Macaca fascicularis: one gene and its partner. The protein of the gene in region 1 purifies or fractionates together with the protein of each later gene. This does not show direct contact. Links are inferred from orthologs where the notes say so. Each region holds a gene or a part of one and is shown on either strand. Other genes may lie near its edges. The genes, in order: LIN7C and DLG1.

What was found.
Region 2: the proteins of LIN7C (region 1) and DLG1 purify together in Homo sapiens (affinity purification with mass spectrometry; 4 studies listed by BioGRID and IntAct, counting the BioPlex papers as one, with this or other methods). This does not show direct contact. The link is inferred for Macaca fascicularis from reciprocal best matches to the Homo sapiens genes LIN7C and DLG1.

The regions. Positions count from the first base shown.
Region 1 is NC_088388.1:38,077,912-38,090,222, reverse strand, and holds the start of LIN7C (protein lin-7 homolog C), read right to left. Parts: upstream 5,174-12,311; 5' UTR 5,150-5,173; coding exon 5,113-5,149; intron 329-5,112; coding exon 210-328; intron 1-209. UniProt on the Homo sapiens protein: Plays a role in establishing and maintaining the asymmetric distribution of channels and receptors at the plasma membrane of polarized cells.
Region 2 is NC_088376.1:2,752,188-2,764,498, forward strand, and holds the start of DLG1 (disks large homolog 1), read right to left. Parts: upstream 7,335-12,311; 5' UTR 7,268-7,334; exon of another isoform or gene 7,118-7,267; intron 6,816-7,117; exon of another isoform or gene 6,244-6,815; intron 6,188-6,243; exon of another isoform or gene 6,051-6,187; intron 5,932-6,050; 5' UTR 5,901-5,931; coding exon 5,882-5,900; intron 5,179-5,881; coding exon 5,047-5,178; intron 1-5,046. UniProt on the Homo sapiens protein: Essential multidomain scaffolding protein required for normal development. Recruits channels, receptors and signaling molecules to discrete plasma membrane domains in polarized cells.

The DNA of each region.
Region 1 (12,311 bases):
GAATATACCATGCTTGAGTTCTCTGTGAAGTTAAAATTTCAGGCAAAGTTATGCATCTTTATGTTTTTTCTATCAGAAATTCCAAAAATGAAAGGGATTGGTTTTAACGTTTTCTGAAGTTTTTCTTAAGAAATTTTGAACGCAAATTTAGAGTATTATCTGACCTAATTAACTCAAATTTTTAGTAAATTTTAAAGATGTTTACTCACCTCTCTCACAGCATTGCAGAACTCACTTTGAAGGACTCTTTGCAAAGCCTGAAGTTTCTGTGGTGGTACTTCTCCACTCCTTTGTAGTTTTTCCAATAATTCAATTGCTCTACAAATATCTAGAGTTAAACACACAGATAATTTTCTCGAAGGGTTTTCTCAATGCCTATGTAACAGTGTAGCACTTAGGATTCATTCTTCAAGGGCTAATAATATACAGACAAGAGTGGGGAAAAAAGCATTGAATTTGCACATGTGTTTGGTGGGGAGGAGACTGTGCGTGTGTACACACATGAAGGGTGAGAATGTAAAATGTAAGAACACTAAATTTTACAGTAGATAGGAAAAACTACTGAGATTACAGAAGCATAAAGTAAGACCTCGGAGAAACACAGGCAAATTGAACACAAAATACCAAATGTCATCAGAAAGGACTGCGACTCAAACGTGACCATTACATGAACATTGTACTGCTTCAGAAAAGCTAGCAATATTGTCAGAAACTAGTCAACAAAAATTTACCAAATTATCATTATTAGTAACCAAAGCACTGAACGGTACAAGGCACTATAAGCTAGTAAAATCACTGATCATTTCTTGAAAGAAACATGATACACAGGTAGATAACCATTAAAGAGCAGATGCAGTGAGTGGCAGGGACACATTTAAAACAACCGTAAAAATGCAAAAACAAGCAGTACAAATGAACTAAACTGATTTTTTTTCACCTTAATTAACATTGTTAATTCAAACAAGCTCAAACACTTATGTTTATGAAAGAGAAAAATAAAAACAATTAGCTTTGTGACCGTGGGCAAGTTACATGACTTCCTTATGTCCCAGTTTCTTTCACTGTAAAATGGAAATAACAGTACCTTCCATATAAGGGTTACGAGGAAGAGTTATGAGTTCAGTTAACGACTGAACCACACAATACATAAAAAAGGGCTCAGCAAGCAAAAATGTTATGTTACACTGGTACCAATTAATCATAAGAAATACTGGCTGGGCATAGTGGCTTATGCTTGTAATCCCAGCACTTTGGGAAGCCGAGGTGGGTGGATCACCTGAGGTCAGGAGTTCAAGACCAGCCTGGCCAACATGGTGAAACCCCATCTCTAATAAAAACAAAAAAACCAAAAAAAACAAAAATTAGCCAAGCATGGTGGCAGGTGCCTGTAATCCCAACTACTTGGGAGACCGAGGCAGGAGAAAGCCCTTGATCCCGGGAGGCAGAGGTTGCAGTGAGCTGAGATTGTGCCACTGCACTCCAGTCTGGGTGAAAAGAGTGAAACTCCATTTCCAAAAAAAAAAATAAATACCAACCAAACCAAAAAAAGCCTAAGAGGTTGTATACATTTTTAGAAATGTATGAAGCATGTTAGGGGATTCCCATTGAGAAGTGCGAGGATAAATGTTATGAATTGAGACATTTTTAGAAGATTCAGGAGGTCAGCTATAATACTGTTATCTCTACTTTTTTTTTTTTCCCAAAAACTGTTTTTGTACAGTTTCTGTACCCCAGGTACTATAGTGCCCAGTATTCCATTACTGCTTTGCTTCCTTTTGACTTAAGTAGAAGATGTTTCTGATTTCATGTTATACTCAAGGACTAGAAATTTTTCTTTATATAGTATGGCCTTCTTCGTGTTTGCAGATAGAAAACTATGAATAAATGCAGTAAAGAAAGATATTTATTTATTTATTTATTTATTTGAGAGGGAGTCTCACTCTGTCACCCAGGCTGGAGTGCAGTCGCGCAATCTCCACTCACTGCAACCTCTGCCTCCCAGGTTCAAGAGAGTCTCTTGCCTCAGCCTACTGAGTAGCTGGGATTACAGGGGTCCACCACCACGCTTGGCTAATTTTTGTATTTTTAGTAGAGACGGGGTTTCACCCTGTTGGTCAGGCTGGTCTCGACCTCCAGACCTCGTGATCCACCCACCTTGGCCTCCCGAAGTGCTGGGATTACAGGCGTGAGCCATCAAGCCCGGCTGAAAGATAATTTATTTATTTATTTATTTGAGACGGAGTCTCCCTCTATTGCTGAGGCTGGAGTGCAGTGGTATGATCTTGGCTCACTGCTACCTCCGCCTCCAGGGTTCAAGTGATTCTTGTGCCTCAGTCTCCCGAGTAGCTGGGACTACAGGTACCCGCCACCACGCCCACTTAATTTTTGTATTTTCAGTAGAGACAGGGTTTCACCATGTTGGCCAGGCTAGTCTCGAACTCCTGACCTCAATTGATCTGCTCGCCTCGGCCTCCCAAACTGCTGGGATTATAGGCATGAGCCACTGCGCCTGGCCAGAAAACAAATTTTTAAATTTGTGGTAAAGAAAGCTTAAACTTAAAAAGTTAATCAAATGCAATGGAAGCAAATAGACCTTCACCATTCTGATTTCCCATCACCAGAATGACTGATAAATGGGGACTGTTGGTTCATCAATTATTTTGATTTATAAAGTTATAATATGTAAGTCATATAAAAATTTCCAATGAAGAAAAAAAAAACGGAAAAAAATAAAATGCTTTTGACTAAATCTAAAATGTAGCTAACATGTGCTCAAATTTGTGTTTCATTAGATCATAGTTTGATGATTTAGAAGGCACTCTAAATCATATGTGATCAGGTGCTGTATTGTAATTGTACTGTAGGATTTTCTGCTGTAAGATTGTTGGGAGTGTTTGTTAATAGAGTATGTTAGAATTGTAAACAAGAATCAGAGGTGATGTAATCTGACTTTCTTACCCTGCTAAATGGCAACGACTAGTACAGCTGTCTCAGTAACTGTGGGGAATTCGTTAGGACCTTCTTCAGATACCACAGATATCAAGATCTGCAGATGTTCAAGTCTCCGATATAAAATGATGTAGTATTTGCATATAACCTTATGCATATCCCCCCTCCATACTTTAAATAATCTCTAGATTACTTACAATATCTGATGCTATGTAAATAGTTGTTATATCACATTGTTTAGGGAATAAGGACAAGAAAAAAATGTACATGTTCTATACAGACACGATTTTTTTCTCTGAGTATTTTCAATCTGCAGTTGGCTGAAACGTGGAACCCATGCATATAGAGGGCTAACTGTAATTCATCCTAAGGGGCTAAGCCTTCTACTGAAGAATGGAAAAGAAGTCTGTTAACAGCAAAAAACAAAGCCATGACTATCAAAACTAAATGCCACAGAAGTTCCACATTTTGTGTTGCATTTAAAAATACAAAGACTGGTCGGGCGCAGTGCCTCACGCCTATAATCCTAGCACTTTGGGAGGCCGAGGCGGGCGAACTGCCTGAGCTCAGGAGTTCGAGACCAGCCTGGGCAACACGGTGAAACCCCGTCTCTACTAAAATACAAAAAATAGCCGGGCGTGGTGGTGTGCGCCTGTAGTCCCAGCTACTCGGGAGACTGAGGCAGGATAATTGCTTGATCACGGAGGCGGAGGTTGCAGTAAGCCGAGATCGCACCACTGCACTCCAGTCTGGGCGACAAAGCAAGACTACGTCTCCAAACAGCAACAACAAAAACACAGAAGACCACCAATATGTTAGAATCTTAACAACTAGCTTTCAAAGAAGAAACCTACTCCTGTTAACACCAAACAGATTTGTTCCCATCCATAAAACAGTGCTACTGTGCTCAAGAGGAAGATGTCACAGACTTAGGCCTAACTCGGCAAGTCTTCCCAGAGTAGCTAGTCCTCTAAAATGATGCTTTAATTGGCTTAAGGGTAAGAATCTCATTTACAGTGAGACTTCCAAATGGTGAACGCAGTAAAGAGCAAATCAGCAACATTAAGTGCACATTTCTTTGTGGGAAGGCATTAGGAAAGAAGTTTTTCTAAGTACAGTAATTCTAAAAATGTGTTTTCTTAGGGAACAATAGTAGTATTTAGACTGTAACTGCAAATGTTAATATGTGCAATATAATTTCAGTCTCCATCCTATAATTTTTTTTTTTCTTTAACCACAAGTACTCAAAATGTTTATTTGTACTTCTCAGCTCCTATCAATGATTTCTAATGCTGGTGCATGAAAAGCATGCTTGAAATTGTTTGAAATAAAGGATTAGGGACAGAGTGGAATGCTGGAAATCTGTAAAAGGACTGGAAACGCTGGAATGCTGGAAATCTGGTAGGCGCATAGCCAGTTATTTTCACAGGCTTCTCTAAAAAAAAATCACTCAGAAGAGGAGGTTTTATTTTCCTTGACAGTCTGCTCTAGGAAGCAATCAGCCAACCAGTTTGCAATTGTAGGGTTTGCAAGAAATGAAAAACACTGCACCTGCAAGCGTTTTAGCATCTACCACTATTCTGCTTACTTACGTAACCTCCTTCCCAAGACCAAGTGAGTAGGATTGTTTTAAAGCAACCTCTCCATTTCTAGGAGGGGCACAAAAGCTAGCAAATACCCCAACCCAAATACAAGCGATGTTGTGGAAAAAGTAATGAAGGAGTATGTGTGTAAACAAGGGGGAAGGGAGGTTCTGTTGAATTGTACCGTGTGTGTTCTCATGTTGTACAGGCATTGAGTGTAGTCTGTGCGAACCGGGTGTGTGACGTTTGCTTTTCGGGTATATGGGTCTCTGAATGCTGCTTCTGCTGTGCCCACCAAGGGAGCGCGTGTGCGGCGTGTGTCTGCGAAGCGGGCAGGTTGTGTTTAGTTGTGCTGTGCTTCGGGACAGTCCGTGTGAACAGAGGAGAGCTTAGAGTAACAGTTGAAATACCGTAAGCGCCCTCACTAAAGCCAGGCACAGAACAACGGTGGCCTCAGGCGCCGGCACAAGGGATAGCCTGGCTCCGGATCTCAGGGCCTGGGTCACTCCTCCTCCCCTCCAGCGACACAGCACTCTCCCAACCCTTCCACCAACCTCGGCCGAGCCTCGGCTGCACTCACCCCTCTCCAGTCGCACGGGTTCCCCTAACGCCGCCATCTTCTCCCTAGCCCACAGACCCACAGGAAATGACGACAGAAGGGCTGAGGTGGAGGGGCGGGGCCTAGAGGAAGCCGGAAAAGTGAGTACCGGCTAGTATCGCGAGATCAGGAGGGTGGCCGAGGGTGTCGCCGGGGCCATCAGGGTAAGGGTACCTGGACTTGCGGCTTTTGAGGTTGGCCTGGCTCCGCTCCTTCCGCGGTGGCGAGGTTCCCCGGCCTCCTAGGGTTGGAAAGAGCTGCTTTCATGACTCTCGTTCCCTGCCTCGGGCTTCCCTTATCCGAATCGCTTCGAACCCTTGGCTCCACGTAGAGGAGTCAAGCCTGGATTCTAGTCCCACCTTGCCCATTAGCAGCTCTGTGATCTGGGACTGTTCTCTTACCCTCTCTCAGTCTCAGTTTCCGCCTCTGTACAACGAGAGGTCCTATCTCTTAGGTCCTTTCAATTTTTAAACTCTGGGATGTGGTGGCAATTAAATATGTAATGACATGTCAGTTCTCAGTTTGTGACAGCATTGCTTTAAATTTAAAAATCCACGGCTTGAATCTTCCCTCCAAATCTGTTTAAGGGTGGAAAGTACAAACAGCATGATAACATATCTGGGTGAGGGAGAGAACAAGGTGCTTTGGTGCACCACAAAGTAACAATTTTATAAGCAGCTGATTCTTATGAAATCTTAAGTAAATTAAATATTGTGAAGCAAATAGTATTCTTAATGCATTACAGATTCTTTGAGCCACTCCTGAAATTTTCGCGAACCAAGAAGAATTTTAGTATTTGGATTTGACTAACATTTATCCAAGCCCTTAGTCTGTACTGATACTGTGGTAGGTGTGTTTACATCCAGTATTTCAACACTTCATGATGCGACTGTTTTAATAACCTGGTTGCCGCTGGTCCACCCTTTCCATTCACCTTTAGTATTTTCTTCTCCAAATCCATCACGGATATCTGCCATCACTATGCTTCTTTTTTCTCCCCTTGAATTCTGATTTCATCATCACAAGATCTGTTCAGAAACTTTCAATAGTTCTCTCCTGTTTCTTATTTCTAAAGCCTTGCATACTCTGACCCTAACTCATCCAGCTAAGTTCATTTCTTATTACCGCTAAGTGCAACCACCACTTCAGTCCGGGTGGGATAGTTTCAACCATATTTATTCCTGGTTTCAAGTCTTTTTGTTTGTTTAGAGACAGAGTTTCTTTCTGTTGTCCAGACTGGAGTGCAGTGGTGCGATCACAGCTCAAGAGAGCCTCCTGTCTCAGCCTTGCCAGTAGTGAGGACTTCAGGCAAGCACCACCATGCCTGGCAAATTTTTAAATTTTTAGTAGAGATGGGGGGTCTTGCTATGTTGCCCAGGCTCAAACTCCTGAGCTCAAGCAGTCTTCCTGCTTTGGCCTCCCAAAGTGCTGGGATTACAGGTGTGGGCCACTGTGCCGGGCCCCAAATCTTCATTTATGTTGTTCTTGTGTGGAATGCCCTTCTTCATCCCCTCCTGTTCTCCAAACTTTGTAGACACTCAGTTGAACCCATTTCATGGGTCCCTGCTGAAGACATGCCACTTCTACCAAGCCTTTCTCCATATTGTTCCACTTTTTTGTCCTCTGATGGCCTAAATACCCTGCAGTAACACTCAGGTGCTTATCTCTTACTCATTGTTGTCTTTTTTTCCTGCTGCAAATGTGTTCAAGAAATGTTTATTAAGCACCTAATATGTACCAGGTGCCTTGATAGGAATACCAGGTAGAGCAAGACAAATGCAAACATTGCTCTTATTTCTTCAAATATTTTTTCTTTGCATTCTCTTGCTCCTCTCCACTGGTGACTATTGGAGTCGTGTGCATGTACATAGTATACATGTATATTGAGCTAACTGGCATTGTCTCACAGCTCAATGATGCTCTTCTTTTTTTCAAGGTTTTCTTTATGTTTCCTTTTGGATAATTGCTAGGTTTTCATGTTCATTAATCTTTTTTCAATATCTAATATTGAAATCCTGTCCAGTTCATTCTTCATATAAAACATTGTAGTTGTTGCTTCTACCAGTTTGATTTGGGTGTGGGTGTGTGTTTTACATCTTTTATATTTTAACATGCTCAATCTTTTCTGTAGCTTCTTAAACACATAGAATACAATTATAATGACAGTTTTAATGTCCTTGTCTACTAATTCTATGATCTACACTATTTCTGGCACAGTTTGTATTGATTGATTTTTCTCTTCATTACCGTTCATAATTTCCTTCTTCTTGCATGCCTGGACACTTTTTTTTTTTTTTTAAACAAAATGGTAGACTTTGTAAAATTCACTTACTTGAAAAACAATTTTGTTCTTTTGGGGTCTGATTTTTTTGTTGTTGTTGTTAGGTGGAACCAATTCAGTCATTTATGTAGGGCTAATTGTATACCACTACTAAGACAGTACCCTTCAAAGTTCCTTACCCCATACCCAATGTGAATTATGTGGTTTTTCTACTTTGGTAGGAACAGGACTGTTCTTATGAACTGGGATTGTGGATTTTTTTGGCTCTTTTCCTTTCCCTGTCTGGTAATTTGTTTCTTCTTCTTTCTTCCTTCTCCTTCTCCTTCTTCTTCTTTCTTCTTCTTCAGATGGAATCTCGCTCTGTCACCCAGGCTGGAATGCAGTGACGCAGTCTCAACTCACTGCAGCCTCTGCCTCCTGGGTTCGAGTGATTCTTGTGCCTCAGCCATCCGAGTAGCTAGGATTACAGGCACCTACTACCACACCCTGCTAATTTTTGTATCTTTAGTAGAGACGGAATTTCACCATGTTTGGCCAGCTGGCCTCAAACTTCTGTCCTCAAGTGATTCGCCCACCTTGGTTTCCCAAAGTGCTGGGATTACAGGCGTGAGCCACTGCACCCGGGTGGATGATTAACACATGTAATCATCATAGAATTTCAGAATCCCAGGAATAGGTAGAAGATCCTAGAAGTTTCCAGAGAGGATAAAAGTTATATTCTAAGGACTGGAAATCAGAACAAGATTGTACTTCTCCTCAGCAGTACTGGAAGCTGAGGCACAGAGAGCAATTAAATTTTTAGAAAAAAATATTTGCAAACTAGATTTCTATACCCAACTGTATTAGGTTTCTAGGGCTGCCATAACAAGATAAAGCAAACTGGGTGACTTAAAACAATAGATATTCACTGTCTCACACTTCTGGAGGCTAGAAGTCAGAAGTCAAGATGTCATGTGCTCTCTGAAAGTGTAGAGGATTCCTTCCTTGTCTCTTCCTCACTTTCTGGTAGTTTGCTGGCAGGCTTTTGTGTTCCTTGGCCTGCAACTGCATTGCTTCAGTCTCTGTTGTCATTATCGTATGTAAATCCGTATAAATAGGTGTATCTGTCGTCAGCTGGAAATCTTATAAGAACTTCCTATTTCAGTATGACCATACCCTAAATTAGTTGCATCATCAGTGACCTCATTTCCATATATAGTAACATTTGAGGTTCTGGGAGTTAGAACTTTAATTTTTTTTTGAGGGGAAGAGATACAGTTCACCCCATAACACCAACCAGAGTATCAATCAGGCGTGAAGGAATAATGAAAAATATTTTACACATGTAAGTTCTAAAAAATGTTAACCTTCCATACATACTTTCTCAAGAGCTATTAGAAAATATGCTCCATCAATAGTAGGAAGTGAGCCAAGCCAAGTACAGTAGCTCACACCTGTAGTTCAAACTACTCAGGAGGCTGAGGTGGGAGAATCACTTGAGCCCAGGAGTTTGAGGCTGCAGTGAGCTATGATTGTGCCACTGCACTCCAGCCTGGGTGACAGAGTGAAACTCCATCTTTAAGAAAAAAAGTTAACTGGCCAGGGGCGGTGGCTTATGCCTGTAATCCCAGCACTTTGGGTGGCTGAGACAGGTGGATCACTTGAGGTCAGGAGTTTGAAACCAGCCTGGCCAACACTGTGAAACCCCATCTCTACTAAAAATACAAAAAGTAGCCAGGGGTGGTAATCCCAGCCCTTCAGGAGGCTGAGGCAGGAGAATCACTTGAATCCAGGAGGTGCAGTGAGCTGAGATTGCACCACTGCACTCCAGCCTGGGCAACAAAGCAAGAATCTGTCTCAAAAAAAAAAAAAAAAAAAAAAGTTGGCCAATAAAGGTGTATGTAGTACAATAAAAAGAGGATCCAATATAGAAATATAGAGGATATCAAGGTGATTTCAGAATGATTACTGTATCAGGGTGCCTCACAGAAACAGAACCAATAGAATATATTTAGGTATATAGAAACGATTTATTATGAGGGATTGGCTCAGGAGGCTACAGAAGCCAAGAAATCCCATAATTTGCTGTCTTCAAGTGGGAGACCCAGAAAAGATGCTTTAGTTCCAGTCCAAGCATGAAGAACCAAGGCCTGAGAACCAGAGGGGCCTCTGGTGTAAGTACTAAAGTCTGAGTCTGAAGGCCTGAGAACTGAGAACACTGGAGTCACAAGGGCAGAAGAAGGATATCTGAGCTCAAACAGAAAGGGCAAATATGCCCTTCCTCTGTCTTTTTGCTCTATTCAGGCCCTCAGTGGATTGGATGTTGTCTATTCACATTAATGAGAGTGATCTTTACTCAGTTTACTGATTAAAATGCTAATCTGCTCTAGAAACTTCGTGACACACTCAGAAATAATGTTTTACCAGCTATCTGAGCATCACTTAGCCCAGTCAAGTTGACACGTAAAATTAATCCACCACAACTGTGAAGGGAAGCCTAGGGTAGCAGACATGCAGCTGGCAAAGAGAGCAATCCATTCACAGGGCAGGGCAGAAGTGGAGGTGAGGTGTTGCCAAGAAAAAAAAGAAATGTGCAGTTCACCAATGTGGGTGAGCATATTGATAACACATTTCTGCATTTTAGTGGAGAGTTTGGGAATAAAGTGGTGATAGACACATAGAAAACTAAGCAAATGGGAGGAAATAAAGCAATTATTAACTCCAAAAAAACCTAAAAAGCCATGTAATAAAGGAAATATATAGAAGGTGGATCAGCTGCATACAACATATTCAGCAACTTTTACTTTTTTTAAGTATAAACCCTGTAATGCTGTTTGCATTTTTAAAAAGACATTTTAATAAAAATGAAAATTAATAAATAGCAATCACAATACTAAAGATAATATTTGATGTATTTTATTTTGAAATCTTTAATTTGTATTGGCCTCATGTTTTCAGTTTGAAATCTTTGCTCTTGGGAAGGGGAATAAGAAAACTTCATTATAAGCACAATTTGAATGCTTGAAAAGCACAGACTTATTAGGTTTAAAGCAGTGTTTAATGATTAGACAATTTTCATTTAATAGATTTGTAAATCTGCTTTATTTGGTATTTGAATCTCATTGTGCTGTAGTCTGTGGATTTGCTACCCATGATCAGATACTCACCCCTGGTTCAATCAACTCTATCTGGTACAGTGGAAGTAGTGGTTCACCCAAGTCTCTGATAAGTCTGGAGACAGAACATTTTCCCTTAGAAAGGGCTAGAGTACAGCAGGCAATGCATTTGGCCTATCTAATATAGTACATTACATATACATTTGGGAAAAATGTTGCAAATTCCATAAGCGTAGCAGCCTGACATTATGGGAAAAGCACAGGACTAAATGTCAGGAGAGCTGGTTACTTATCATAGATAAGCCACCTTGTGATAGTGTGATCTGGACAATATCACATTCTCATTCTAGACCTGTTTCCTTATTTGGCACGACAACTGAATAAGATCTGTCTGAGCCAGCCGCAGTGACATCCACCTGTATGCAGTCCCAGTTCTTGGGAGGCTGAGGCAGGAGGATGGAGGCCAGGAGTTTGAGGCTGTATGATTGTGCCTGTAAGTAGCCACTGTACTCCAGCCTGAGCATCACAGCAACACCCTAACTCTTTAAAAAAAATCGGTCAGCATGTAAAAATTACTTGACTCTGTATCAATAAAGTAATTAATATAAATATGTATTTATTTAAATACAGATTCCCTTGAACTTCATGGACTTAACAAATCAGAATCCTTAGGAGAAGGCTCTGGGAATCTGTATTTTAAAAAATCTCTAGTGATTCTGACACAGCTAGCCTGACACAGGGACCTGTGTTCAGGATTTAAAAGATTATTTCTAGGGCCTTTTTCTACTAAAATTCGGTTTCTTTATAAAACTGCAGAGACAAATTATTGAGAAAATGATTTTCATTATAAAAGAATATATAGCTCTTGCATAAAGGGCAGCATTTCTAGCTGATTTTAAATTTTATATCAATTATTTTAGGCATGGGTAAGGAAGAAAAAAGTTTTGGAAACTACTTCTGAGAGGGAAAAATATGCCTCACATTAACCAACTGGTACTTAACATACAAAATAAACAAAAGAATCAACTATTGTGTAAGGAGAGAATCCCAAAATGTTCCTCGTTAATTGAAAATTCAAGAGTATTAGCATTGGGAAAGACCTAGAGAGTCCAGCTCCCTCATTTTAAAGAAGAGAATATGGATTGCTGTCCTGCATCTCAAAGGAGGCCATTAGGAGCATGAACCAGGGAAAGCTGGTTTTCCTTTTATGCCTCTGCCAGGTTATTAAATCACCAATTCTGCTAATCAAGAATTGCTCTTTGTGTGGAAGAACTCCTCTTCACCTGTTGCTTCCTCATACTACTTCCTGCCTCAGAGATGTAGAGGAACTTTAAAATTGGAATAGGATGTTTGGGTCTAGACAAATCCCAGTGAAAGCTAAATTATGGAAATTTAGTCTTTGTATAACAAATGAAAACCCTAAGTAGGCTGCCAAGGTATAAAAGCTTTCTTAACCCGAGACATTGCAAATACAACGTACTAAGTGAAAAAAGGAGTGGGTGGGGAACAGTGGGGGTAGAAGGCTGTCTAAAGGGAAGCTAGGAAAATGGAAAGTAATATGGAGAAGCAACATGCTCCAAGTGGAGTGTTTTACTATTCCATTGCCTGTTGAACTGTAACACAAATAGGCACTACTACATAAAATAGCTATTTGAAAGAGTTATGTCATTGCAGGGTAGAACATTACTCTCAAGTAAAGACTTCTAACAGTAAAATTAAAGTCTCAATCTTCTTTTTTTAACAGAATTCCTCTGATGTACTCAGCAAAGTAAAATTTTGAATAAATTTATTCTTTTATTTGAAGT
Region 2 (12,311 bases), on another chromosome or scaffold:
CTAAAATGTAACAGTGGGACCAAAACAAAGCAAAAGAAATCTAAGAAATATTGATTGGAAGACCTCAAACCCTCATTACTAAACACACTTCTTTCAAAACGTGTGAACTCCATCATCAACATCATTTCACCATTATAAATATTTTCCTTCCGAGTGACAATCATTTAAAGACTACTAACCCTAAAGATCACTATCTGTCTTAAACATGCTTGTCATTTAGTATTCTTTATCAGATTAAAACGCTTGGTTCTGAAAAACAATGATAAAGAAGATCCTAATGGTTGACGGTGAGAAGTATCTATGGATTCAGATTAGTTGAGTTCAATTTCTGGCTCCACAATTTACTATCTGAGGGTCCAAGGGCAAGATTGGTCATTTCTCAGTGCTTCAGTTTTCCAATCTATAAAACAGTACAAACACCTCAAACAGGTGAATGTACACCTCATAGGATTACAATGACTAAATGATATACTTCTATTAGCACACAGAAAGTGCTCAATAAAAGTTATTATGTTTTACATACACTTGAAGAGGAGTCACATACTCACACTTATTAGGATAGCTATTATCAAAAAAAGAAAAGAAAAAAAATGAAGTATTGGCAAGGATGTGGAGAAACTGGAAACCTGTGTACTGCTGGTGAGATTGTAAAATGGTACAATCACTATGGAAAACATTATGGCGGGTCCTCAAATAATTAAAAATATAACTGCCATATGATCCCACAATCCTACTTCTGGGCAAATATCCAAAAGAACTGAAAGCAGGGTCTTGAAGAAATAATTGCACACTCATATTCCTAACAGCATTATTCACAACAGCCAGGAGGAGAAGGTAACCCAACTGTCCATCAATGAATGGATGGCTGGATAATATGTGGTATATACACACGACGGAATATCATTCAACCTCAAAAAGGAAGAAAATCCTGTCAACAGCTGTCAATGGATGGCTAGATAAAACGCGGTATATACACACAACGGAATATTATTCAGCCTCAAAAACGAAGAAAATCCTGTCAACAGCTGCAACATGAATGAACCTTGCCAACTCTACACTAAGTGAAATAAGCCAGTCGCAAAAAGACAAATACTTCTATGAGGTCTCTAACATGATCAAATTCACTGAAACAGAAAGTAGCATGGTGGCCACAAGGGGCTAGGAAGTGAGAGGAAAGGGGAGCAGTTGTTTAATCGGTACAGGATTTCAGTTTTGCAAGACGAAAAAGTTCTGAAGACTTGTTTCACAACAACATGAATACATTTCATGCTCCTGAACTGTACATTTCAAGATGGTTAAGATGGTAAAGGGGTCATATTTTGAAACCCAGTATCCACAAATAAAGATAGGGCAAGGTCCTTTTATAAGGGCTAATGAAACTATTAGAGTTTAATAGCAACAAATGAACTGGTAACTAAAAAACTCATAAATGGACAGTATTATTACATAATCCACTTTCATTCTGAAGAATCTGCAGAAACACTGTGTTAATATAAGCTTTTTTATTGCAGACAAAATATGCAAATCACATGACGCAACTTACTCAAGTCTCTAAAGCCAGCCTAATCTTGGACACTGATTTTTCTCGTGCACAAGGAAAGCAGATGAGTTCTCTGATCCCGTAAGAAATAACTGCAGGGGTTTAGACTGGTACGAAGTCTCTAGGGACTACCAGTGTCACCTCAGATCCCAGACACCTTAGAATCATGAATGAAATGAAACCACTATGGACCTGAACACCTGGGCTCTGATTATAATCAAACCATACCCTGTCTACTCACAAAATTTTCAAACTTAAGTACAAAAAATTGGAATACAAAAGCAAATTTTCAAATTGGTCTCACCTAAATCACAGAATGAAATTAAGCAGACTTTATCTTCCTTTGTACAAAAATAATCAGCAGGTATGTTTTGGGAGTACATTTTAAACAAATGTGCAGTTCATGGACTTTTGTTAAGATATAACTTTAAATATTCAGCTCTAAAGAAACAATATATCAGCTGAAACTCAAAAGTTAATAAAAACTTCTGTTTTCAATAATTTTTAAATCTTTAAGCCATCCTTCAAAGATACTACCAAGAATGTATCAACACTAGAACAATGATTTCTATATTTAAATTGCAAGTATCAATTATAAAATGCACTATTTCATGTGTCAGAACACAAAAAACACTGTCAATTAAAAATGACATATACCAGATATTGAAATATTAAAAAATTGGTATTTTAGAACAAATATAATACAGTATGTACATCCTTGTCCCTCTGAATAATCCAAAAGTACAGGAACCTAATCTATATATGAACTACAGGGGAAAACACCAAAACCCCTAGAGACTCACTCAAACTTTTTAAAATGAATGAAAAGTCAATATAAACTACCAGTTCAAAGAATCAATCAATAAATGATCAATGCAGATTGCAAATTCAAAGACACTCGGCATCCCAAACAGATAACTAGGTAACTTACTACGGCCTAATCAAGTGACTTCCAAACCAAGGAAGTCAAAACTCTAAGCACTAACTGACTTTCAAACAGCTCAGGCTGTCAAGACCCCTGTTCTCCTTTAATCCAATGGTCCACAGGTACCAACTCAGAAGACAGAGTGCCACTTACTGAGAGAAAACACCTTTCAGTAAGTGGCACTCTGTCTTCTGAGTAGGATTTTTCTGCAAACATTATGGACACGATGAACTGGTTTAGCTTAGGGCAATTTACAAACTTACAGTACATTTATGACACTTTTAAAACAATGGTAGAGTTGCAAAATACAAAGAAAATCTTACCAGACTAAACATTTTCAGACTAAGTATTAAAAGCTATTCAGGAAACACGAGAGAATGCATTTATAATTCAGTAGTATCAACAATGAATTATAGAATGGAAACACACAGAACCTCTATTAAAATGTATCTATTTCAAACCTCCTAAAATATATTACTTTTCTTACACCAAAATCTGATATAGTACCACATCCTATAAAACATTAAATATAAGTAAATCTTAATGTCAAAGTAAATTCACAACCAATGAAATTGTGCAGAAGATTCACAAATATAAACTTAATAATTAGAAAGCTAATTTTAGGCTAGATGCAGTGGCTCACGCCTATAATCCCAGCACTTTGGGAGGCCGAGGCAGGTGGATCACGAGGTCAGATCGAGACCATCCTGGCTAACACCGTGAAACCCCATCTCTACTAAAAATACAAAAAAAAAAAAAAAAATTAGCCAGACGTGGTGGTGGGCGCCTGTGGTCCCAGCTACTCGGGAGGCTGAGGCAGGAGAATGGCGGGAACCCAGGAGGTGGAGCCTGCAGAGAACAGAGATTGCGCCACTGCACTACTGCCTGGGCAACAGAGCGAGACTCATTTCAAAAAAAAGAAAACAAAAAACTCTATCATAAGAATACACACATTCAAAACAGGCAAGGCAGAATAGGTCAAAAATGTCTTTGAATATAGCAAACCCATCCCCAATCTAGACAGAAATATAAATGTAGATTCTGTTATTTCACTAACGATTTAATTATCTTAAGTTGTTGCCTTCACACAAAGTCTGGAGTCTATCTATCTATCCATATCTATCTATCCATCTCTCTCTCTATATATATATATACACACTGTATATAAACACATGTATGTTTTTCCGCAACAGTAACCGCACCGAATTACTAGGCTCAGTGTTGATTCAGAAAACAAATAACTAAAAAATGCTTTTTGCTGTTTTTCCAGAGGAATACAATTTGATCATCCATTTTGACCCTGAACCTCAGAAATTCAAATGTGTAAAAAATGTCCATCAATGTAGACAAAACTGGCAAAATGTTAATAACTTCGGGAACTAGGTAACAGTTAAAAGGCAGTTCATTACACTGTGCTCTGTATTCTTACGTTTTTAAAAGTCTACTAAAAATGTTAAATTTTTAAAAATTGTTCAGGTGCATAAAGTGGTCTTTACGAAAATCTTTCATTCTAAAACAGTAGAGAGCATCCGTTTACCAATAATGTATTTGACAGGACACACTGACTTGAAGGTAGTCTTCAAATCACACCAACAATTACTCTATCAACAGACAGATGTAAGGCCATATCTGCCTGGAAGTTACTGAAAAAATAAATGTAATACAATTAAGTATATGTCTCCTTACGTTAAAATGCTATATAGTCGATAACTAAAAAAAAAAAACAAAACTTCATTCTTGGAATTGGAAGAGACAAACTTTCTAGTTCAGTAGTTTGCAAGCTTTTTTAGGTACCTGGACAAAAGAGCCAGATAAGTCACCTTGTTTCATACATGGGAGATTACACACAAAATATTAGATGATGCTTTTAAAAATGATTTATCCACTTAAAAAAGGCTTTAAACCCATTTTGCCATTCCAGCTACATTCTACAGCTAATATGGTGGCGTAGAAAAGATTAAATGACTTTTATAATGTCACTGAATTAGTGGCAAAAGAACTCAAGACTCTTATTTGTCCAATTCTCCTTTCAAACAATGCACCACTTCAAATTAAGTTACAATTAAGAATAAAACTTTCCATTTTCTTGCCTGTAAAATACGATTATTAGACAAGATCACCTCTAAGATCATTTTCCAGGTCTAAAATTCTGATTCCATGAATGCCAAGTTTAAACAGAAGTCTATATTAAGGGACTGAATGTTCTTACACACAGCAGAATCCTTCACACACTTTCAATGACTTCAGAGACATACAAGTCAAATACAGAAGCAAGCTAACAGTAACTCAGTCATACCTTTTAGGTCCTGAAACATTTTTGCAACATCTTTTAACAGTTAATGCTATTAAGCTGTGAAGCAATGTTCTCAAAAGCCACTGAAATGATACTGAAAGTTTTTTGGTTACTAGGTATTTTAGGAAAGGATCCTGGCCTATGAAAAACACACACGCACTGAAGATGTTCAAGTTACCGAACGCCTCATAGAGAATTAAGTACATCATTTTCTTAAGTTTAAAATAACTGAATCAAGAGGAGCATAAAGCCTAGCTGGCATAATAGTTACAAAGTTTTAATTCCCACCTATTAAAGCCTGAAAGAGGTTGCTCTGAAATATGTTAATAACCCGTTCTATGGAACTTCTGAGCTGTCTGTCTTCAGTTTGGCTTAGTTTTGAACGATATTCTTCCAAAAGGTGCAATGCTCTCTGGGTATCTGAGAAGAAAAAGCAGAGCCTGATTAAAACTCTCTATTTACAAAAAAAGTATCACACACTAGTGCAAATAATTCTGCATGACACCTAAACAGTTCCCCAAATCCTTCAGGTCAACTGATGTCACTATGTTCATGTACACATATTCCTTAGAATGACCAAAAAATAAAAAAAAATTAAAGACAAGAAAAATTTAAACATATATCACATTAGAAAACGGAGGAGAGTGAGCAGTTTGGAATAAATATGTACTGTTAGTTTGCCAAAGTAAAAGATCAAAGTATTAGCAACAGTTTCAGATTACCTGATATGCAAAAGCAGATAATCTACATTTTGTCATTAAAATCCAAATTTTTAACATTTCAAAATACAAATTCTTAGTATCCCACGGTTGCCCACAGAATAGTGCTTAGTAAGAATGATGAAGTGAAATACTAAAACACCAATGCAGAGTTTTTAAGGACATCTGTGGAGGGGGGGGGTGTTAATTGCCTCTCTTAATCACCAGAGAAATGTTAAGAAAGTTTAACAAACATTTTCCTGTTTCCATCTTCTGAAATGATGTGAGACTTACATCCCCTAACCAATAAAGCTAGGACCGTGCTGTCTCATCAAAGTTACACAAACTATTCTAAAACACCAATCAAAAAACTGACATACGGAAAAGCCAAGTGACATCAACAGAGTTATGGAATAAACTCTCACCTTGCTTCCGGACCGGCATTTTTCTCCAGAATCAGGAAGAGGGCACACACCTTTAAAAACACACAACAGAAAGGAAAAAGGATAGAATCATGTTAAACTAGCATTTCCCCCTATCGAAATAGAAAACCCTCGCAGCCCTATTGGAAAACCCCACGTTCCAAAGTTTTACCAAGTCAAAGAAAGAGTCTCAAAACGCAGCAGTTGTCTGTCAATGTGGAAAGCTTCTCCCTGGAGTGGGTACCCCTCCAAATTAAGAACAGAGAGAAGTCGGTGTTCAAACTCTCCTCGAAAGCGTCCCCCTCCCCAAAGAGCGTAGACCTGAGGCCGCCTCTTCCCCCGGCACAAGTATCCACGCTCCCCACCTGCTACTGGGGACGGGCCGGTGAAGCGCTCCGACCCTTGGCCCCTGAGCCAGCAGCGGCCGCAGAGCGCTGAGAGGGGACCGGCGGGACTGGCCGCCCGCCCTGCCCGGGCCCCCTCCTCCGCTTGCCTTTCTCCTTGCTCGCTGCCTCCGGGCTGCTCCAGCGGGGGCCGGACAGGGCAGCGGCCGCTCTCCGCGACGCCCTCGCGCCCCGCATGCACACCTCCGCGGGCCCCCACACCTGCGGCGCCGCCACAAAGTTCCCGCGAGCGGCGTGCGCTCGGAACTGGGGTGCGCTCCGGCCAGACTCGGAGCAGCTCCCCGGCCCGGCCCCGCTCCACGTACCCCCGCCCCGCCCGGGGCCCGAGGAGCCGAGCGGAGGGGGTGAAGGGACGGGGGAGGAGCTCCCTTGGGCCGCCGCACCCCCGCGGCCTCTTCCTCCTTCTAGGTCGCGCCGCCTCCCCGCTCGCCGCGGCCCACCGGCCCGCTCGCCCTGTTGCCGCCTGCCCGCCCCACCCCCGGAACCTCGCCTCCTTCCGCGCCCCCAACCGCTCTCCCCCTAAACTTTCCGCCAAGATGGCGGCCCCCGAGCTGGCCTGCCGCGCTCCCACGTGACCGCCTTCCCGGCGCTCTCAGCCAATGGGAAGTGAGGAGGCGGCTCGCGCCGAGCCCCGGGCTCCCCGCGCTGCTACCTTCGGGTTGGAAGGGGGAGGCGGGTCGGGAGAGGGCTGGGGAACGGAAGGGGGACACGGGGAGCATCCTGAGGGAACCCCCTCGCTTAAAAGGGCGGCCGCTGAAGTGGCTCTGAGAACAAAGGAGTTAACACGCGGACTCCACAGGTGGCCCGGGGTGGCCCTGGAGGAGCCCGCCTTTACCTTGCCCGAGCCCACCGGCGTGTCCCGCAGTTCCGAGCTAAACGCGCCAGGCCGGGAAGGCTCGGGCTGTCTGAAGAGAGGCGTGACCTCGCCTACACCAGAGCCAAGGCGCACATTCCGAGACACCCCTTAACCTCATTCAACACGTGCCGTTTCCAACTCCGCTGCGGAGAGAGCGCCTGGCGACCCCAGGGGTAGATCCCATCGGGGAAAAGCCGCCTTAAGGAGGAGCCAACTGCACCTCCCAGGGGGCGGGGAGGGCGGGGCCTGGGAGAGGGAGAGGGAGGAGTTCGGGGAGGGGTGCCAACTCTGCATTGCCTTCCACTCCAGGCTGCTTGTTAAGTTCCTATTCGTCCCTTAGTAATAGGCTTGGCGGGAGGGGGTTCATTAAAGAAGGACATGTAAAATAGAGACACTGGGTAATGTGGCAAGAGTTTGAGGGTTATACTACAAGATTTTTAAGCCTAAGTGATAAATTCCAAGTATGGTATACTTCAGGGTGGGGAGAGAAGGTTTGTTCATTCATTCGTTCATTCATTCATTCATTCATTCCCCCAAGCCTGCGTCCCAGCCCGGTCAGCATCGCAGGTGTTACCCAAACGCTGACGGTCCCTTTAAGAACTCACCTGGAGTCGCGCCCTCCGAAGCTGAGCCGCCCTCGGCCAGCGCTGCAGGTTTAAGTTTCGAGCGCACCTGTGAGCGGAACCACGGGCCAGCTGGGACCCCGCTCCCGGGCTGAGCCACCCAGGTTATAGAAGGGGAGTCTCGGGAAGCTCTCCAAGTCACTGCCCAGGTCTTCGAACCTCCTCTGGGTGACAAGGACCTCCCTATTCGGAGTTCCAGAGAGAACTTGCCCAAAGTTACCCCGAGTGAGTGACAGAACTGGAAACCCGGAGATCCTGTCTTTCAAAGCCGGAAGGCTCTTCCCAGTAAGCCTGACGGCCTCTGAGGCCGTATCCATTGGCCACTAAAGGGAAGGCCGAGGAACCTCGTATTGTAACCTTAAAGCTACTCGCAGGTATACTGACCACTGGTTGAATTTTGGATTGCACCTTAGAATCCTAACTTATTGTAAGGACCCACCGACTTTAGAACCTATCTAGGACAAGGAACGGAGGTCCAGAAAAGGGAAGCAACTTGTCCAAGGACGTAGAAGCTAATCCGTAACAGAGCAGCCCAGAACTTAGGTCTCCTAGCTCTAGTCAGGGCTCTTTCTATTGTGATTTTGGACAACTTGACAGAGAGGTATGTTGGTATGTTGGCAGCAGACCTCTGTGCTTTCCCGGATCAAGCATCCTGGGATCTTGAACAACAGTTAAAGCAACATTGCATAGAGAAGATGGGATAGAAGGGTCAAACAGTCCTGAAAGCAGGGGTGTCCTAAAAGCCAGGAACTTAACAGAGGGATGGAAGTTGTTTAATAGTGAAAATGGCTCATGGCATGCATGATACTCTCAAGACTTCGTTGATGGACTGTGAATGGAATGGTTGCAATAAGAAACCGTTCTAAGAATGGAATCACTTCAGAATTCAGGAGAAAGAGGGAGGGAAATTTGCCCTCTCCCTTGATGACATTTATTGTTCATATATGTTCACTTGCTAGGAAACGGGGATAGAAATAAATAAGATCCAAGTCCTGCTCTCAAGGATACACAGCCTCGTAGCAAGTGCACAAAGGCCAATGCATGTCTTCCCAGGGGACACTGAGGAGTCAAAAACAAAATTTGTGTGAGTTCTCAATGTCATCCTAGCCTTCCCCTAAAAGCAAAAAGGAGGAAGAGGAGGAAAGAGGACATGTCCTTTTTCTTGTCATTCTGTGCGACAGCCCTGTTTGGTTGTCAGCAGTGTCGAAAAGCAGCAGTGAACCTAGCACTTGTTCTACCCGCTGACCTAAGGTGCCGGTAGCAAGTGCCTAGCAAATGAACATATATGAGCAATGAATGAAGGTTCTTTACTCTTCATTCCTCTTTTCTACCCATCTTTATTAGTTACTTATTGCTGGATTAAAAAATTCCTCAAACCTTAAGAGTTTAAAACGTATTCGCTTAGTAACTTAAACAGCGATAAATAGTATCTCAGTTTCTGCATGTCAGGAATTCAGGAGCAGCATAGTTGGGTGGTTCTGGCTCAGGGCGTTATGATGTTGCAGTCAAGAAACCTACCAGGGCTGCAGTCATCTGAAAGCTTCAGTGGGACTAAGGGAGGCTCTTTCAACATGGATCATTCACACAGCTAGTAAGCGGATGCTGGCTATTGGGAGGAGGCTTCAGTTTCTCACCATGAAGACCTTTCTATAGGGCTGCTTGAGTGTCTTCATGACATAGTGGCTGACGTCCAACAGACCAAGTGATTCAACAGGGCAAGACAGAATAAGCCACAGTGCCTTTCATCACTTAGTCTCAAAAGTGACACTCTGTCATAGTCTGTTTGGGCTGCTATAACAAAATACCTTAGACTGGGTGATTTATAAACGACAGAAATGTATTACTCACAGTTCTAGAGGCTAAGAAGTCCAAGATCAAAACACCATCAGATGTGATCTAACAGTAATGAGAATAAAAATTTTTAAAAAAAGAAAAAACTGGCCAGGTGTGGTGGCTCATGCCTATAATCCCAGCACTTTGGGAGGTCGAGGTGGGTGGATCATGAGGTCAGGAGTTCAAGACCAGCCTGGCCAAGATCATGAAACCCCGTCTCTTCTAAAAATAAAAAAAATTAGCCAGGCATGGTGGCAGGTGCCTATAATCAGCTATTCAGGAGGATGAGGCAGAGAATTGCTCGAACCCGGGAGGCGGAGGTTGCAGTGAGCCGAGATCATGCCACTGCACTCCAGCCTGGGCAACAGAGCAAGACTCTGTCTAAAAAAAAAAAACAAACAAACACCAAGAGATTCAGTGTCTGGTAAGAGCCTCATTCCTCATGAATGGAGCTTTCTTGCTGCATCTTCCCATGGTGTAAGGGACTAACAAGCTCTATCAGGCATCTTTTATAAAGGCTCTAATCCCATTTAGAAGAGCTCCACTTTCAAGACCTAATCACTTCCCAAAGGCCTCATCTCTTAATATGATCACTTTGAAGGTGAAGATTTAAACATATTAATTTAAGAAGGACAGAAACATTCAGACCATAGCACACTCCATCATTTCCATAATATCCTATCAGTTACTTAGATCAGCCTCAAGGATATGATTACCAGAAAGTAAGACTCACTGGAGGCCATCTTCTTTGAGCTGGCTACCACATCATCACAATGTACAAAGCAATGACATCTGGATTTTTCTTTTCTTTTTTTTTTTTTTTTTTTTTTAGATGGAGTCTCACTCTGTTGCCAGGCTGGAGTGCAGTGGCATCATCTCGACTCACTGCAACCTCTGCCTCCCGGGTTCAAACAGTTCTCCTACCTCAGCCTCCCGAGTAGCTGGAATTGCAGGCGCCCATCACCACGCCTGGCTAATGTTTTGTATTTTAGTAGGAATGGGGTTTCACCATGTTGACCAGGCTGGTCTCAAACTCCTGACCTCGTGATCCACCTGCCTTGGCCTCCCAAAGGCTGGGATTACAGGCGTGAGCCACCACACCCGGCCTCAACGTCTGGATTTTTCTAAGCAACTTTTATTTCCTCAAAGCCTTACTTTGTGCAGTGAGCAGCTGCCATTGAATAGGACACAATATTGGATCTAATTTTCCAACTTCCTCATTAAATATATATATATATATATATATACACACACACACACACTATATCTATCTATCTATCCATCTATCTATCTATTTATCCTCTCTGTTTGTCTATCGATAGATCGATAGATGAATAGAAGAAGTTACTTCAACAAAATACTAGCGGGTAAAGCTGTTCACTTTCCAGCTCCAAGTTAACTTGCCTTTTGAAGAGTTTAAAAGGCTTAGGAGTCAAATGACCACAGGGAAAGGCTCAGATTTCCCATTCTTTTATGAAATGTTAGCCAGTCAATGTCAAAGATACTGTCTCTAAGTTCCAGCCCTTTGCTTCCCAGACATCCTGCCCAAGCCACCTTTGCAGCTTCACATCTCTGTTTTTGTCTTCTCCTCCATCCAGGCCCCAGCCTATAAGTCTATAAAGGTGCCCAGGTCCCGCCAGACTCTACTGCATCTTTTGCTTTCACTCCAGCAGAGTAGCAGCATGCTGCCTGTGCCAAGGCAATCACTAAAAGGAAAGGATTTAATGCTGTCAAAAAAAAAGCTTATGCCAGCTTAGGCTGCAAGAAGAGGAACAGTGTCAAGTATGACGAAAGTGGCCATATTGGTCAGACCTCCATGATAGCCTAGGGGGCATTGCTTAGCAGCACACTTTTAAAGGAATCTAAACAAACCAGCAACTGGAAAGGAGAGAGTAACCACAGCAATAGGAAACAGTTGTAGAATCTAGGGACATTTCATTGGAAAAAGAGAAGTCTCCAGGGAGCTTCAGTCGTCAAACAGGCTTATTCTGTGTACCCAGTGGGCAAGTACAGTCAATGGATGAAAATTCAACCAATGGACAAACACAGGAAGTTCTTTCTTAACATGAGTTATCAGAAACTGTCCAAAATTCCAAAGAGCTGCCTCAAGGTAGTGGAAGGTTTTTTTGTTTTTGTTTGTTCATTTGTTTTTGTTTTGTTTTGTTTTGTTTTTATCAGGAAGATGCTGAATGAAGTCAGCAAGGATTCTGTGTTAGAGGGTGGTAGATATCCAGGACACAAGGTTAAACTAGGTGACCTCTGAGACCACAGTTCTAAGCTGTTGAAACCTCAGTCCCTGCTGAATACTGAAATGGTATTAGCACCCTTTAGTCTACATCAAGAATTCATTCTACCCAGTTTTAGTGGTACCAAGACTGATCTCTTTCTCATAGACAATTCTTAACAGAATAAAGTCTACACATTGAAACCAATTCCCTTTAAAATGTGGACAGATGGCCATCTCCATGATGGGTAGTTGTGCACTGAACTAATGCTTTTTAATGGAAGGGCCGCCCTAAAATTCCTGGATTATGGTATAATGGATTACTACATCAGTATAGGACTAATAACCGCCTCCCATGTAAACTGGTGTATCCTGACAGTGGTATAGCCCCTCATAGAGTGTTCAAAGACAGGTTTAACTCACTGCAGGTCCACAGCAACCTATAAGATCAACTCATTAGTTATGATCTCCCACTTTGCAAAGGAGGGCACAG